Linked DNA regions of Schizosaccharomyces pombe. Changing the gene in region 1 together with any one later gene gives a genetic interaction. Each region holds a gene or a part of one and is shown on either strand. Other genes may lie near its edges.

Region 1 (7,029 bases):
CAATGCTCTATACGTTTAAATTGAAAATAACACCCCCATATCTCAGCCTTTTCTCATAATCTCCATAAAATAAAATAAAAATAAATATGAAAAAATCTCTAGATGTGTTTATGAAGTACCGCTAAGCAATAAATTAAAGGGAACGCTGTGCAAACACGTATTACATTGAAGGCTGTATATATATGTTTAGATTGAAAATATTAGTCATTACTATAGTAATTAAATTATTAAGACTGATTACTGTCACAAAAAGAGAACTATACATTCTTAATAGAACTCAACGTTTGTTTTGTGCCTCGTTATACTATATAATCTTAAAAAGTAAATATAAATACCTATATATTATTAAAAAATATATCTACCTGAATATTACTAAAGCCCAGATTCGGTGGCCACGTATTTAGCTTAGCAGCTTTCTAAAATTTATATATTTGCATTTCACTACAAACTTCTTCTATTTTTGTTGTTTTATTTTATTTATTTAAGGGGACACACGTTTCACAATTTTGAGCAAACAGCAAGCGCTAATATTGATTCTACTAGATATCAGAATTTTTGAAGCACTTGTTTGGGAACTGTTTTAGTGACTATTAATTGTTTAAACTATTATAGTGGTTCTATCTTGGAATTTAAATAGGGTCTCAATTAAAGAAGAATTGACGACGTTTCTATCTTGAATTTGATTTTTCAAGTGTCTTGGTCATTAAATTATCTTTGCCATACATCCAATGGAACAAAAAAATTTAAATATCAATCAGGCTTCAGGTTCAAAAATCAATACCGAATTAGCTGTTCCAATTTTTCAAAGCCGTCGGAGACATCGCCCCAGACAAGGACTGAAGCGTAAAAAAGGATTCAAACGAGATGATGACTCTGGAGGCAGCAGTGAATCATCAAATGAAGATATGCGGGACAATATTCCAATTGTTTCGGGAAGAAAAAAAACCGTTCGCTTAAATCGATTGCAAAGAGAATCCGAGCAATTCGAGAACTCTGCTTTGAAAGATATAAATGTTGAATATCAGTCAAATCTAAGCGCTACTGGTGAGTCCGTTAATACTACAACTGTTTCGGCTATCAACGAAGATACGAGAGAGGTCATTTTAGGTCGACCTTCTCCGAAGTTAGCTAATCAGTCTACTCTTCCTACTGAGTTATTCCAGTCACAAAACGATTACTCTAGATTTTTGCCTAAAAGGAAAGATTTTGAGAAAAAAAGCCAAGTAGGGCCAGTTTTATCTTCCAATGCTTCTACTGTCCGTATGAATACAATTATTGACTACCAACCCGATGTTTGTAAAGATTATAAGCTCACTGGGTATTGCGGTTATGGAGATACTTGTAAATTTTTGCATATGCGAGAGGATTACAAAGCTGGATGGCAACTTGATAGAGAATGGGATTCAGTCCAGGAAAAATACAAAAAAGGAGCTAAATTGGAAGAAGGGATGGTAAAAAATGAGAAAAAAGAGGATATACCTTTCGTCTGTTTAATTTGTAAAAAGGATTACCGAAGTCCTATTGCTACCACTTGTGGTCACCATTTTTGTGAACAGTGTGCCATAACTAGATATCGTAAAACACCGACATGCATCCAGTGTGGTGCAGATACTAAAGGTTTGTTTTCTGTTGACAAAAATTTTGATCGGCTTTTGAAAAATAGAAAATCAAAGAATGACGAGGCGGTCAAGCAAAAGGTTGGTGGTTTCGAAAGTAATAATTCCGCAACTACAGAAGTTTCGGAACGTAAAGATCGTGAAGCTTCATTTCAAGGGTTTGCAGATACGTTGGCAAAACCAAATACATCGGCTCAACAAAAAATGCCTAGTTTAGGTGATAATTCAAATACAATTATTTCAAAGTATTTTATAAGAGAGATTACTGAATCCAATATAGTCCATTTCAAACGCCTCGTTCGTGTCGTTTTAGAGGCTTCTTATAGTGACAAATTCTACCGCCTAGTTCTCAAAAATCCAGATTACGCCCGCATTGCAACATTCGAAGACAAATTCGTTGGAGCCATTAGCAGCCTTGTTGCAGAAGATAATTCACTTTACGTAACAGTCTTATGTGTTCTTGCCCCTTACAGATGTCTGGGAATTGGAAGCTTATTAATTGATCACGTCAAAAAAACTGCCATAAACAATAATATAGACAGAATTTCTCTTCATGTACAAACAACAAACGAATCAGTTATTAAATGGTATACTGCTCATGGATTTAAGATTGTTAAGCAAATCAATGATTTTTACCGAAGGCTAGAAAACAAATCAGCTTTTTATATGGTGTGCCCGTTAAGTGCTCATAATAATATAATTTCAAATCACTAAAATTCACTTATATGTTTATATTACAAAAGCGATGTCAAAGACAGTTTGTAAAATTGGTTTAAGCTTTTAATATTTGATTAGTCCACCTTTTGGCTTAAAATAAACAACAGAAATCCTCAAGCAATGAAAAAAGTATTGTCAAATATAGCGTAAAGATAAGTGTCACTAGATGTGAAACAAAAATATCTAGTTCAGTGTCATTAGTTAATGATAAAAAACTCTCAGTCCATTGATGAACTAGAAACATCCTGTTTAGTTGAATTCGAGCTTATTTCGTTAGACATGCTCCCACTTGGAAGATCCTCCGAGTCAGTATGACCTTTGAAGCTCGTTAAAGACTCCGAACTTTGGTTTTTCGCCGCTTTTAAATTTTCATTCATTTTTTTTGAAGATACTAGCGGTGCAACTTCCTGAAAACTTTTCAACAGTTTACGACGAGCACCCAGTGCCATGATGCCTCGATTTTGCAAATCGAGATCACTTAACGAAACCAAAGCATCCCAATCCGTATCCTTTAAATTATTGGTATACTTGTGTAGGCGCAAACTTCTGAGCCAGCTCGGAATATCTTGCGGAAGCTCATTACCAACATGCTTGTCTGTGTTTTTAGAATGTGAAATCGATTTTCTGGTTTTATTAGATCCCCGTGAGCTTCTACGGTATGTTTGGTTCTTTGAATTATTGGGTGGAGTCTCTATTTTTTCAACTGAACTAAACGGTTGATAAGTGTAAGGAAGGGTGCAAAGGTGCATTCCTACGGGTGTCGAGATATTAGAATTAGGATCTATAGGATTCGTTAAAATCGTATTGGTAGCATGCATCTGTTGAGGTAAACCAGAACCAATTTCGTAATGATAGGGCTGAAAGGGAGGAGTTGAATTGAAATTGTTCAAGCAAAAACCACTTCGTCTCCTATCAATTTCAGAACCATGAATCAACGAGGGTAATGTAACCGGAGTAGTCGAATGTGGAAGTTCGTTGAAATAATGTTGACGATTCAACGGCGTCGATGGTTGCCCAGTTGATTTCTCAACACGAGCATTGACTACAGAATTTAGGTCATTAGCAGAAGGTACGTGCTCAAAACGAAGGGAAGATGATAAAAACGGTTTACCTTCTGTAATGCTAGATCTTCCTTCAGTTCGAGTTCGAGGTCCGATTTGGTTATTACGGTAAAACAGATAAGGCTTATCGCCTAAAGGGCGAGACTTTGGAGAATGGTTTAATAATTCAGGAGGAGGTGGTGGTGGAGGCGGAGAATAAGATATATTACTCCATCTCGAACGAGAAGACTCATCATTCAAATGTGGTGAAAATCCAAGTGGAAAAAAAGGAGCAGGAGGAGCTGAAAAAGCTCCTCTATCACGAGAATCCCAAATATTATTATGAGGAGTTTCAAAAAAAGATGTATTAGGTTTTGATGGTGTTGAATTTGACGGTAAAGACTTTTTAGATGCAGCTATTAAAAGATCAGTGGTCTTGGATGTTTTGCCGGTGGAATTGCTGGTTAAAGAAGATGTTACATTAGCATTAATTGAAGTCCCATTATTAGAAGGGGTAGGAGTATTCCGAGGACTCGTAGAAGCAGAAGAGGCAGGCGGCTCAATGGAGGAAAATGCTAAAGCCTTAGAAAGGCAATTTTTGGAAGATGCCTCACGATCCTGCGTGAGGTAAGTAGATGATACTGAAGATGTACGAACAGGAATTGGCGAAGCCGTAGAAAGAGCGTTAGAAAAGCCATGCTTTGAAGAAAATGCAGGTCCCTGGGTGGACGCGGGAGTCACCATGTTCAAATTTCCAGACAAGTTGGATTTTGTGGTCAATGAAGGAAGTGAACTTGAAAGGGAAGGTGAGTCACCTTTAGGGGACGAAGGGAGAGATTTGTCTAAAGATAAGCCAGAGTTTGAAGGAGAGGACGTAAGGCTAGACGACAGAAGTGTAGATATTTCTTGAGAAGGAAGGTGATGCAAAAGAGTCCGTAAGGTCGTCAGTCGATCTTGGAGACTTAAGGATTGAAACCAGCTTTCAAGAGTTTTCAGACGAGTCAAAAAGGATATACCAGGCTTATCAGCTCCTAAATACTCATCGAAATGTTCCGATATTGAATCTTCATTCTCTTCGGATAGAAGCTTACCGGCAACTTCTTGAGCATTTTTTAAGGTTTCGTTAGTAGACATTTCTCCAGTCGACAGATTAGAAGTGTTTAATTCTTGCTTCAATTTATCTATGGTCCTACTATTTAAAAATCGCGTAGGATAGTTTTTACCATCTACCAACGAGACAGCTATAGTTTGTTTTTGACGTGAAGATGGAGAATCAACAACGTCAAGGCACGTCTTCCGTCTTCCTTCAACCACTTCCATCTAAATCAGGCAGTATAGATTTTGAAATGAAAAATGGTCGATAAAAGAAGATAAAAGTTGAAAAAGTAGTTGATCCTAATGAACCTAAGTTCCCCCTCTAAACTAACTCCTTATAATCAAATCTGCCTCGCTGAATCTTCAAATTGATGAGTAAAAACAAATGATAAAAGGAGATCCCTAGGAATTTAAAAACGACCAGCGTCGAAGCAGGGATCTTTGTTTTGAAAAATGACTACTAGTTGGTGGAAGGAGGAAAGACGGATAAATGTTAGTTCGGGGTCCGCTATATTTAGCGATATGCAAGCCAGTATGCCAAAAAAATAGTTGATTTTACACTTGTTTGCAGAAAATGTTAGTTCTTTCAGATATTCTTGTTTACTGAATTGCATAAAATATACTATGTTTACTCAGACATCTAAATTGGTCTTCTCTTATTTTCTTACTCACGATTACCACTTCAGCAAATGGCTTCGTAATGAATCTACACGTGCAGATGCTATGTTTGCTTTGTAATTCGTTGTCCAATAAACTGAAACATGTTTATATTTGCTTTATATTTACAAAATCAGGTAAATGTTGTAAACTGTATCTACATGTCTATATATTCAAATCAAAAGATTATTACCAAGTAACTTAGCCATTGTACAAAGCATTCAATAAATAAATATATCCGGAAGATTCAACTTGGTGATTTTTTCGCGGATTTACATTGTAGTATATAAACAACTTGTTATTTAATAATACAAAGAATGACTTACTTTTGAGGAAAAGAAGAAGCCTATTTTTCTAATGTAATCATTCATCTTTATGGAATTAAGAAAGTTATCCACTTTCCTGTACTTTACGAGTTGCTTTAAAATTCATGAACTTAAACTGTTGGCACATCACTTAATCATTTATTGTACAACTTGAAGAATTTTTTTACTTTTAAAAAAGTATAGAATATATTTGTTAATCGTAATTTCTTTAAAATACTACTCGTAGAACTATTTGACAGCATTCACTTTTCCGCATAGTTATTCCCACAGTCAGCGAAGCAGCATCACACCCCCCTTAACCCACTCAATACTCCGAACAACAACATTATGTTTCGTTTATCAAATTACATGCTGAGAAAATCACAATTTCCTCAAGGTTTAGTACGTGCTCCTTTTGGAATTCGTGGTTATGCCCAAGCTGTTCAGAAAAATGAAAAATTAGTACTTTCCATGGCATTGCCATACCAAACCATCTATGAGAAGGTTCCTGTAACTCAGGTCGACATCCCTGCGGAAGATGGCGAGATGGGTATCCTTAAAGATCATGTTCCCATGATTCAGTGTCTTAAGCCAGGAGTTATTTCTGTTACTGATGAATCCAGCAACAAATCAAAATATTTCATTTCTGGAGGATTTGCGGTACAACAGCCTTCTAATGAACTTTCTATCACCGTTCCTGAAGCTTATAAACTTGAAGACTTTTCTTCTTCTGTCGCAAATCAACTTCTTGAAAAGCACAAAGCTGAGATGAATTCTTCTGATGAGGGGGTTGCTGCCGAGGCGGCGGTTCGAGTCAGTGTTTTGGAATCCCTCGTTCGCGCTTTAAAATAAGCTAGCAATATTTCTAGTTGGCTGCTGATTTTACAGTTGTGTACATGAAAGTAAACAGGTTATGTTGTGATTCCTTCATAGTGTACACTCTTTTTCGAAAGAACGAAGTTTATAAGTTTGGGGATTTATTACTAGTGTCTTTTCTCAACTGATATCAATAGGTTTTGTTCCAACATATGTTTTTAGCTTCAATCCCAATCCCATCTCTGATTACGAATACATTTAACAGCAAATACAATTATTTTTTTTTCGATGGAAATTATGTTTTTCAATTATACTCAATGATTACATATTGTGTAATGTATTTTACCAGTAGATTTAAAGCGGTGTTTTTCATGCACCGATTGCAAAGTTTTGTCATAGTCATTAGCAATTTTGGCGACTACATGTGAATACAAAAATCTCTATCACAATTTATTTTACAATAAAAGAAGCTGAAAACCCTTAAAAGCCGAAAATTGTTATCTCAATCCAATAACGACTCAAAATTGCATTAACTCTGCTATTGACTTTATTTACTACCCACGCCGTAGCGCACTTTATTTAGTACCAAACATATTGCATGCATGTTGACTTTCCGTATGCTTTTAGTGCATAAAATTCGAAAATCATCAATCACATATAATGATTACATTCCTTGAAGTATTTGTTTACTTCTATTTCTTCCCGCTGTTAGTCTTCATCACATTGCAGTATCCACGATGGACGTTTAATAAATGGAAAGCTTTACTACCAGTATCTGCCTAT
Region 2 (3,795 bases), 2.8 Mb from region 1:
CTTTCATTCTTGAAAGCCTCGTACTGTAAATATTGAATTACACCTTGCAATGTGTACAAATTGGGCTCTTTGTCGGCACGTTTTTCATCTTGCCGTTTTAATGATAGGTTGGATTTCATAAATGCTTTATTTCGACAAAATCCCGGGTATATAAAAACCTTTAGGACACTCGTGAATGAAAGTCGTTGATGGCTTATGAGAGATTCAACATAACACACCTGAGAGTAATTAGCACTACTACGGATGTTCCCTGCAAACTCATCTTTCAAATACTAAAAAAAATTATAAAAATAAATGTTTCTTGCAGTTAGCAGATAATGAAATTTATTTACTTGATCATGTAATTTTAACTAATGGACGAAAATAAATGTTGGCTAAATTACAAATAATCAAAAGCTGTTAAACAAACTTGTAAGTGTATCGAATCAAGCGTTCTTGCATAGGTTGCAAATTTTGAAAATAATTCTATTTCCTAAGAAAACAAATTTTCTAGACGTGCCTTACAATTAATTAATAATATAAAAATAGCAATAAATATAAATAATCATTAAATTAACTATTAATAAAAAATCTTAACATCCAAAGAGGTAAAACGATGAAAAAAATTCTAATATACAGGGATGAATGTAAAGGAGAAGTACGCATTAGGTTCTCTTAATTGCCGGAGGTGCAATTTCACGCGATAAATATTGCTGCATTAGAGAGGATAGGGATTTTTTCTCACTTATTTTCCTTTGTCTTTTCATAAGTAAAACCACGTCCTGCGTGTCAATTGTTTTCCGATGAGCATGGTCTGCAAAAGCCGAAAGGTCATTCGCGATCTGTTTGAAAAAGAGTTCAGAAGCTGTAGTTAGTTCTTCAATCACTGATCCAGCAATTTTTTTCTGTGAATAGGAATTAGCCAACTTCCTAATATTTGTTTCCGGTAGCACAAGTGTTGAAGATTTGGAATATCTTCTTTTAGGTTTTTTAAACGGAGAATCTTTTAGTTTATTTAGAATTTCCCCATTATCTTCATCATTGGGTATTTCTAAAGCAGAATCAGCATCCATTGGTGCGTCTACTACTGGGGAATTGACAGCTTCGTTGGCATTTTCAAGCAAGTTATCATCTAGTAAGGGTTCAAAATTTGAGATTTCTTCCATCAATTCTCTTTCATTGTATGCTTTTTCACCAAATTCCTGAATTGGATCGGCTGGGAAAGTATTTTCGCGCCTTAAAATCTCAAGGCTGGCGCGTTTAGAAGGTAACTCAGATAATCGAGAAGAGAGAGATGATTGACGGGATCTGGAAGCTCTTGAAGAGTAAGATGGTTCATCTTCTAAAATGTCCGGGCCTAAATTAAAAATGGGACTTTGATATTGGTTCAGGGTCGCAACATGGCGTTGGAGAGGTGTACCGTCATCCATGTCATCTGTTTCATAATCACTTAAAGGAATGCGAAAAATAGGAACTTCGTCATTTTTTAAATCTATGAGTCGATTACTAGAAGCGGTACTTAACGCGCTTTCTTGAACTTGGTCAATATTATTTTCTAATCGTTTTTCTGAGATTAGAGAATCACGAATATTACTGACACGCCTTCCATCTGGTGTAAAAAAGTCGCTAAGGCGCTGTGGAGCACGCCTTGGAGCTTCGATGGATTGTATCGTCAGATTTGCATCGCTAGTGTCGGTACCTGGAGATTGGGAATTCCTTTGTTTAGCATCATTTTTTAAAGTCCGACGCTTATTCGAAGACAATCTTGGTGTCTTTTGAGACTTTTGACTATTAGTTTGTGGAGTATGTCGTCGCTCGGAGGATTCTGATTCAGCTGGTGATGGTACTGGATTTTTTGCCAGCGCACGACTGAGCATTCTGAGAATGTCTCTAGGAGTTGTTGCGGAAAACACATTGCTCCTTCTCCTTGCTAGACTATTCCTGCGTGCAAGAGCTCTCCGTTTATGAGGAGTAACAGTCCGTTGAGCAGAACGTGGAGTATACCTGCTTCTAGAGGGGGTAAAATGCCGTCGCTGAGAAAGTGTACCAACTAAATGTTGAAAGGAAGAGCTCTTGAGTGGCGTCTCATAATTGTGAGAAGCCATTGTAAGCGTGATTGATTAGAAATGTAGGTTGAGTGAATATATGTATACCATGCTACCTATACAGCGATTTGGAGTTTTTGATAAATATTAAGGAGAAATAAACAATAATAATCAATCCTTTTAAAAAACAAATGATTCGAACAAGACGATTTCAGGGCTGATTAAAGATTATGGCTCTAGTAAGGTTGGTTATATCATCTTTCTAATTAGTATACAACTACTTCACACTTTACTTGCTTAAGTTCTAATCTGTCTGTCTTTATATACGCATCTTTTCTAAAACTGCTCCATAGCAATCTTATCTAAAAACATGAAGGAATACAACCTCTTTTAAAAAATCGAAGTAAAACGCAAAGATACTTTATGTGCCTATGAAATAAGATGAAAGCATGAAATGAACAATTAAACTATTTAGCTTTATTGTTTGCTATAATGATAAGCAAAACATTTAGGGAAACAATATTTAAAAACTACTAAACTCTTAACTTTCAGAAACTTGTATGGATAGTATTTGCAACAGCAACTTTATTAACAATGCAAAGATTTCTTATGACTTTAATAATTTATTTAACAGTAAATTTTTAAAATCATAATTATTATTCTTTTTGACAATTCTGAGTAAACTACGTTCGCGAGGTTGTAAAGCTTAAGGCATGAAATAGACGAAGTTATAGAATACTTTATGTTGAACTTGAGCGCTATTACATCAAGGATTTGGACTCTTAAATTTGTCGGTTAGCAGCATTGTAACATAATTATCAAAAACTGAACGTCAGATTTGATGTGTTGTTTGTCAAAGTTGGAACTAATGGCATTTTGTATGATATTTGTTTCGAGATTTTCTCTTTAGTGGTTTTAGGACACTTGATAATTAGCTTGAGTAAACTTGACATTCCACCATCACCATGAGCGAGGTACAAATTGTTAAATCGTTTCTAGAAGAGCTTTCAAAGACCCCTAGGAATCACCCTGATAGTATTCCAATTGAAAAAATAGATGAAACTGCTATTTCGGTGCGTAATAATGATTCTTGTTTCACAAATATGCTATTGAAACTAATAGTTTTATAGATCACTATTCCTGCTCCACTGGTCGAGTTTCAAGGAAATTTAGCTTTGTTCGAGGAAAAGAAAGGTAAATTCTGCTTAAATAACTACTTTTAACTAAAAATCTAGTTCATGTTGTTGCGAAAACTGTCCGACCTCCCATTCAACAAGCATCTACTGAAATAAATGTACAGTCTACAATTTTGGAGCTTAAAGAAGTTTTAGCATCTCAGTTATCTACGCAACCTTCCTCTATCCGTTTGATGTACAAAGGCAAACCTCTTGTCAACTCCAGACTTCTAGATGACTATGTGGATGCCGACAGTGTCTCTGAAGTTAATCTTCAAATGTTTCTAATGAATATTTCTTAAATGACTTGTTTCATGTTGGTATTTACCTATATTAGTTTTTCTCCTATTTTTTGATTAGGAAAGTATTCGACGTCAGACACTTATAAAAAATGAAGTGTGTCATTACATACTTATTATGAAAGTTATAGTTATAACTATTACAGCTTTTCTTTGTGTAATTCGCTCTATACTTTCTCAGTTTTGCATATCTGGGATTTTTATGTTTCCCTTTTTATGCAAGACGCCGGCAAGTAAAATCTAATTTAAAACAAAAATCGAAAGAGCATAGTCAGTAAATAATGTAACAGACATTTT
Region 3 (4,984 bases), 2.7 Mb from region 1:
CTTCAGCTGCCTTAGCCTTTTTCTTAGCGGCTTGTTCAACTCCCTTTTTCGCCTTCTTTAAAGCGTTGGTGGTTATAGGCTCAAACTCTTCACTGCCATTTTTTTTGACAAAGATCGTACAGTTGGCATCAGTTTCCAAAGCATGGATTGCAGTTTTAAATGGTGATGTTTGACTTCCGTTGCCAGTTTCATCATTACCGGAAGCTTCGTCTATATAAAAAACAACGTCTGATTTTATTTTCATATCAGAAACTTTTGATTCCAATCCCGCCATTTTTAAAAGGACAGTTTGAAGTTAGTGAAAATGTTAAATATCAAATAACCGGCCTTGGATAACTTATAGTCTCGTTAGAGTGTCTTATCTGCAAATCTACAACCCAGAACATTTGCTAAAGCGCGTTAATTTTTTTTTTGGCTAATGATTCCAAAATTTCGGCTAGTTGCTAATATTTGAAATATTAAGTACTTTTATTTAATTGTAAATTTACATTTCATTGTATCACATTAGTATGGTTATTGCTAATTCCCCAGTCGATTTGACATAGAGCAATTAATTGTCAACCCAGTGTGTATTCAATAGACTCCTCAAATAAGTTAACTACGAAAACTTCTTGTCAATAAGATATTGCTTCATTCCATATTGACTTATGGCTTCTCACGTTCTTAAATTAGTAAATCCAATGGGTAGAAAAAAAGTAAATTAGCTAAGGTTGTAATATTGTCAAAAGAAAAATTTACTTTGTGAAATATCTTTTTAAATTACAAGTGGATATTTTACATGTAGGGCAAGGTTAAAGAACACACTTCTCCATAAGTTAATTGCTAGCATAGTCTGTAGGAATAACCAAAATCGTCTTTTTCTGTTTTTGTTCTCGCTATACAGCCAAGCATGTGCTGACTTTTGTATATCGAGAGATGATTTTTTTTCGTAGTATTCCAATTAGACCTGTTGACATGATACAGTATGGCATGGTATAAATGTTCAATTCACGTATATCAATAAGCTTGCAAAATTCAGGTAGTAGTGATATTTACTTTACTTTTATCGCCATACCTATTGTAGACTGTCCTCAAATCACAACACTTCAATACACAAGTGCATTCTTTTACGCACCAGCATTTCCTTTTTACAACGCTTTTAATTTTAATTATACAAATGTCATAGTCAACAACGGCTTTAAACGGTTTGAACGACAAGAAATGGAGCAGCAGAGGAAAGCAAATAGCGGTTTAGTATAAAAGAAAAATGCAAAAATTTATGATTGTTACAAACAGCGTAATATTTTCATCAGTATGTTAAACCAAAGTATCATTAACAGGTATAGAGTTTCCAAAGTAAGCACGCATAACAATTTTATCCTAAAGAATAGCAGTTATGACCTGCTAGCACACTTCAGTAACAAATTCTGCTAATAATGCGAATTATTAATTGATAAAAAAAATCCGTATCTCAGTTTCATGAGACTAAAGAGAAAAGCGTAAAAGAATGAAATGTAAACGAATGGTACATGTAAAGGCATTCCAAAGATCTTTTGAATGATAAATTTAGTGTGTTACAATAAACTAATTTGAGTAGCAAAATATAAAACACATACTACCTTTGAAAAGCCAGTAATGAAGAAAATTAGGGGTCCATCAAAATACCTCAAAAGTCATATTTTAATGAAATTGAGTATAGCAAAAAGATGTAATATGAATGTCAGAATTAGCAATCGTAATCATCAAACCTAAAACAACATAGTTCTACCCTTTGATAAATAAAAGAAATCTAAAGACAACGGAAGGCGTAGAAAAAAAAAGAAGACAGAGAAAACTCCTTCTACTATGAGGAAACTAATTTTGCAATTACAACCCAGAGTTGTAAATAGTCGGCAATCGCGACAAACCTAAGGACGATCACTCAAATGGGGTGCTAAATTATTTTCTTCAGAATCCCAATTTAAATAACGATGATCGGCAAGCTTTCTTGGACGGATAAAATGCCTTAATGTAAAAACGGTACCTAACACAACACAAACAGCACTGACAACAATGTAAGCTATTCCAAGGAATGGATTCTTTCCTCCAAGCACCGATCTCGTCGTAAGAACCAGAGATTTGGTACCGTCAAAGCTCTTAACAGGAAAAAACAACCCAATTTTTATTTCGTATGTTCCTGGAAAAATATCGTCGTTATCGTTCCGCATAGCCAACTTACTGAAAGTAGGCAGACCAGCTGTACGCATCCAAACCTGTAAATTTTCCATAGTTGACAAATCTGGCATGTTTGATTCAGTATAACCATCAGGATAACGCAAAACCCAATTGGGAGGAGGTGCAACATCATCAGGACTGTAGTTTGTCTTCAAAAATCGTCTTTTATCTGAAGCCCAAGCTATATTTTTGGTAGAAAAAGTGTAAACACTATTATCATCCAGCAGTCTCAGTGACGAAAAAGTGTCATTGAAAAGAGAATTTGCAATCAAACCACATGGATAATATGGTTTGTCATCTTCGTTAACTTCCAAAGGAAAACAATTGCCTCCTTTAACTTCGTCAGCAGTTAAAGCCACTCCCTGTAGTTGTTTTTCATCTACACTTTTAGCATACCGTCGATGATTTTGAAAAAAATTTGTCAAACGGTAATATATGAAAATAGGCGCCTTTAAAACAGATGGGACTGTGAATCTTATGATGCAGTAGTTAACGTCCATATCTAGATCTTTATCGAGAATTTTCTCCAGTTTCCAGTAGGTTGATTCTTTGTCAAATCCAATAGTTCCTGATTGATCAAATGAAGCTGTGTACTTTTTGGAAGGGACGGCAGAGAATTCATCGTAAGAAGCCAGAGTCTCACAATCCGTATAATCAACAACTAGCTCTTGTACGATAGAGCTAGCATAAAGTAATCCTCCTCCTAATGGACCAAATATAATTCCTAACACAAAAAAAAGTGGAAGCACGATTTTAGGGGTTAACAATGGCTGCCAAGACTTGATCCTTTGTTGGCGAAAGGAAGTATTAGGAGGTGCTCTAGTTTTTGCTACAGGCCCATTTGATGCAGTGTCTGAAACATTTTCATTTAATGCTTCCGGCATAATTCTCAAAGGTCTTGAATTGATCGCTTTTTAAAAGCGAGCCCGTTAAAGTGATTAAAAACAATTTAAAAGTAATATTTTGGTGGTTTCTAGATGAAAATTATTGATTTTTTGTTTTAAAATAGGTCAAAAGGCAATAAAACAGCCTATAATGGATTAAAAAAGAGGATATTTGAAAGCCACGGATTTTTCTACGTTTGGCATTTAGTAAACACATAATCTGCAACGTACATATACAAAATTGCGTTAAATAATTACTCCGTATTCCTAATAGTGCTATAATTGACATTGCGAATATGGTACATTTCGCTATTCAAATTTAAAAAAAAATTCTATACAAAGCCAGTGAAGCAGTCATCTTTAAAAGGAAGAGCTATTATAAATACCTTCTTTAAAAATAGGGAAGAACATTTGTTGGTTAATGTATAGTAGTTATATTTCGGGACTATAAAATTATGATGTTCAATTAAAGGAAGTTTCAAAATTTTATAGACGATGGTTTTTCTGCTACAAATAATATTCAAAGTGATTCGTCGTAAAAATGTATACCTGATCGACTTGATTCTGTAGAGATAAGAAAAGAAAGTGTATTAATTATCTATTCTCTGTGGTTAACAAAAGAGGAGAAGTAAAATGCTTGAAATATATTTACGAGCTGGATAGGAAAATGTGCGCACTTTACCGGTAAAAATTGCCCAGCTAAAGAAACAAACAGTATTTGAAAATGACCACCTGCGTGGAGTCTAGTAAATTGCAAGAAAAGAAAAAAAGATTGGTGCCACACTAAGCTCATTTTTTCGAGACAACGTATCTAATGATACAGTATATGTAACTCTAATTATCATATACCTCTTTTGATGTTTGTTTTATGTTTTTTTAACTACCTGATTGAAAACCTCGGATGGTAGTAAATAATGCCTCAAAGTCGAAATCTCATTAGGCAATTAACTGGGATTCAACACATTTATTTAAATTAACATAAGTAAGCCTGGACATTGAAACATAGTGTTATTAATTAACGTACAAAAAATGTGAATGATTATGGCTCCTTCCAATATTTATTTCATGCCTTTAAAAATGAATTTCCGAGCTAAAATGAAAGTTGTTTGATATCAAGCAATTGTTAAAGATTTTTTCATTTAAGTAGTTGTTCGGAATAATTTGGTAGCATTCAAAAGTTTTGCTTCCCATTGCTTTCAGCTCCAAATCCTAACATTATCTTTTGATCCTATTCATTATATTAATATTCACATTTATTCTTTTTGATTAGACTTGTTTATTATCATTTTTTGGCTGTTTACCATGGTATTTATAATGATGAAGCTATGTTACTAATGGATTTTTGTAAGATCACATGAAGAACGGCAGGTTGAAATTGATACCAAGCAGTAAGGAACAATTCTCTCACCCATAAATTGGATTGATTATTTTGTTATCTGTCCCATTTAAGGAATGTTCATTTATTATCATGGCGCTCGCGTCATTGAAATATACTCGAAATTAAGCGAAAAAATCGATCGGCGATAATCATTGTTTACTATCAATGGCACAAAATTCCAAAATTGTATATATTGCAAGGTGCCCTGTACGAGTAGTTTCAAAAAAATTTAATATTCCAAAAAAACGCCTAAAAGACTGTGTTGTTGGAAGTTTTTAAATGTGCAAACAATGGTACCAATAAAAAAAATTAGCACAGCTTGCGACTTGTGCAGGCAAAGAAAACTTCGGTGTAACGGCGAATTGCCAAAATGCCAGAATTGTGTAGTGTACTCAGAAACGTGCAAGTATAATAAAAGAAAAAGAGTAAAGAAGCCAAACGTAGACAAGGATGACCCACATATCGTCGTCGGGCAGCCGCCTGTAAAGAAGTCAACAGCTGGTATTACTCGAGAGTACACCGAAATGAT

What was found. A genetic interaction does not mean that the proteins touch.
Region 2: of vts1 (region 1) and cnp20, a mutation in one rescues a mutant of the other (synthetic rescue), as found in Schizosaccharomyces pombe (one large-scale study listed by BioGRID).
Region 3: mutations in vts1 (region 1) and mug89 together harm fitness more than expected from each alone (negative genetic interaction), as found in Schizosaccharomyces pombe (one large-scale study listed by BioGRID).

The regions. Positions count from the first base shown.
Region 1 is NC_003423.3:3,041,074-3,048,102, forward strand, and holds vts1 (RNA hairpin-binding protein), read right to left. Parts: upstream 4,938-7,029; 5' UTR 4,694-4,937; coding exon 2,552-4,693; 3' UTR 2,331-2,551; coding exon of another isoform or gene 729-2,330; 3' UTR 567-728; downstream 1-566. Other genes in the region: zf-C3HC4 domain-containing and GCN5-like protein cwf24, read left to right, coding at 729-2,330; F1-ATPase delta subunit atp16, read left to right, coding at 5,779-6,282; gpi14 (pig-M family mannosyltransferase), read left to right, coding at 6,907-7,029.
Region 2 is NC_003423.3:277,953-281,747, reverse strand, and holds cnp20 (centromere receptor protein cnp20), read right to left. Parts: upstream 2,266-3,795; 5' UTR 2,085-2,265; coding exon 645-2,084; 3' UTR 501-644; downstream 1-500. Other genes in the region: csc3 (WD repeat-containing protein), read right to left, coding at 1-119; SPOM_SPBC800.12C (ubiquitin family protein), read left to right, coding at 2,990-3,097, 3,155-3,218, 3,260-3,501.
Region 3 is NC_003423.3:303,415-308,398, forward strand, and holds mug89 (phospholipid-translocating ATPase complex Lem3 family subunit), read right to left. Parts: upstream 3,284-4,984; 5' UTR 3,078-3,283; coding exon 1,887-3,077; 3' UTR 501-1,886; downstream 1-500. Other genes in the region: asparagine--tRNA (Asn) ligase Nrs1, read right to left, coding at 1-274; SPOM_SPBC1773.12 (transcription factor), read left to right, coding at 4,746-4,984.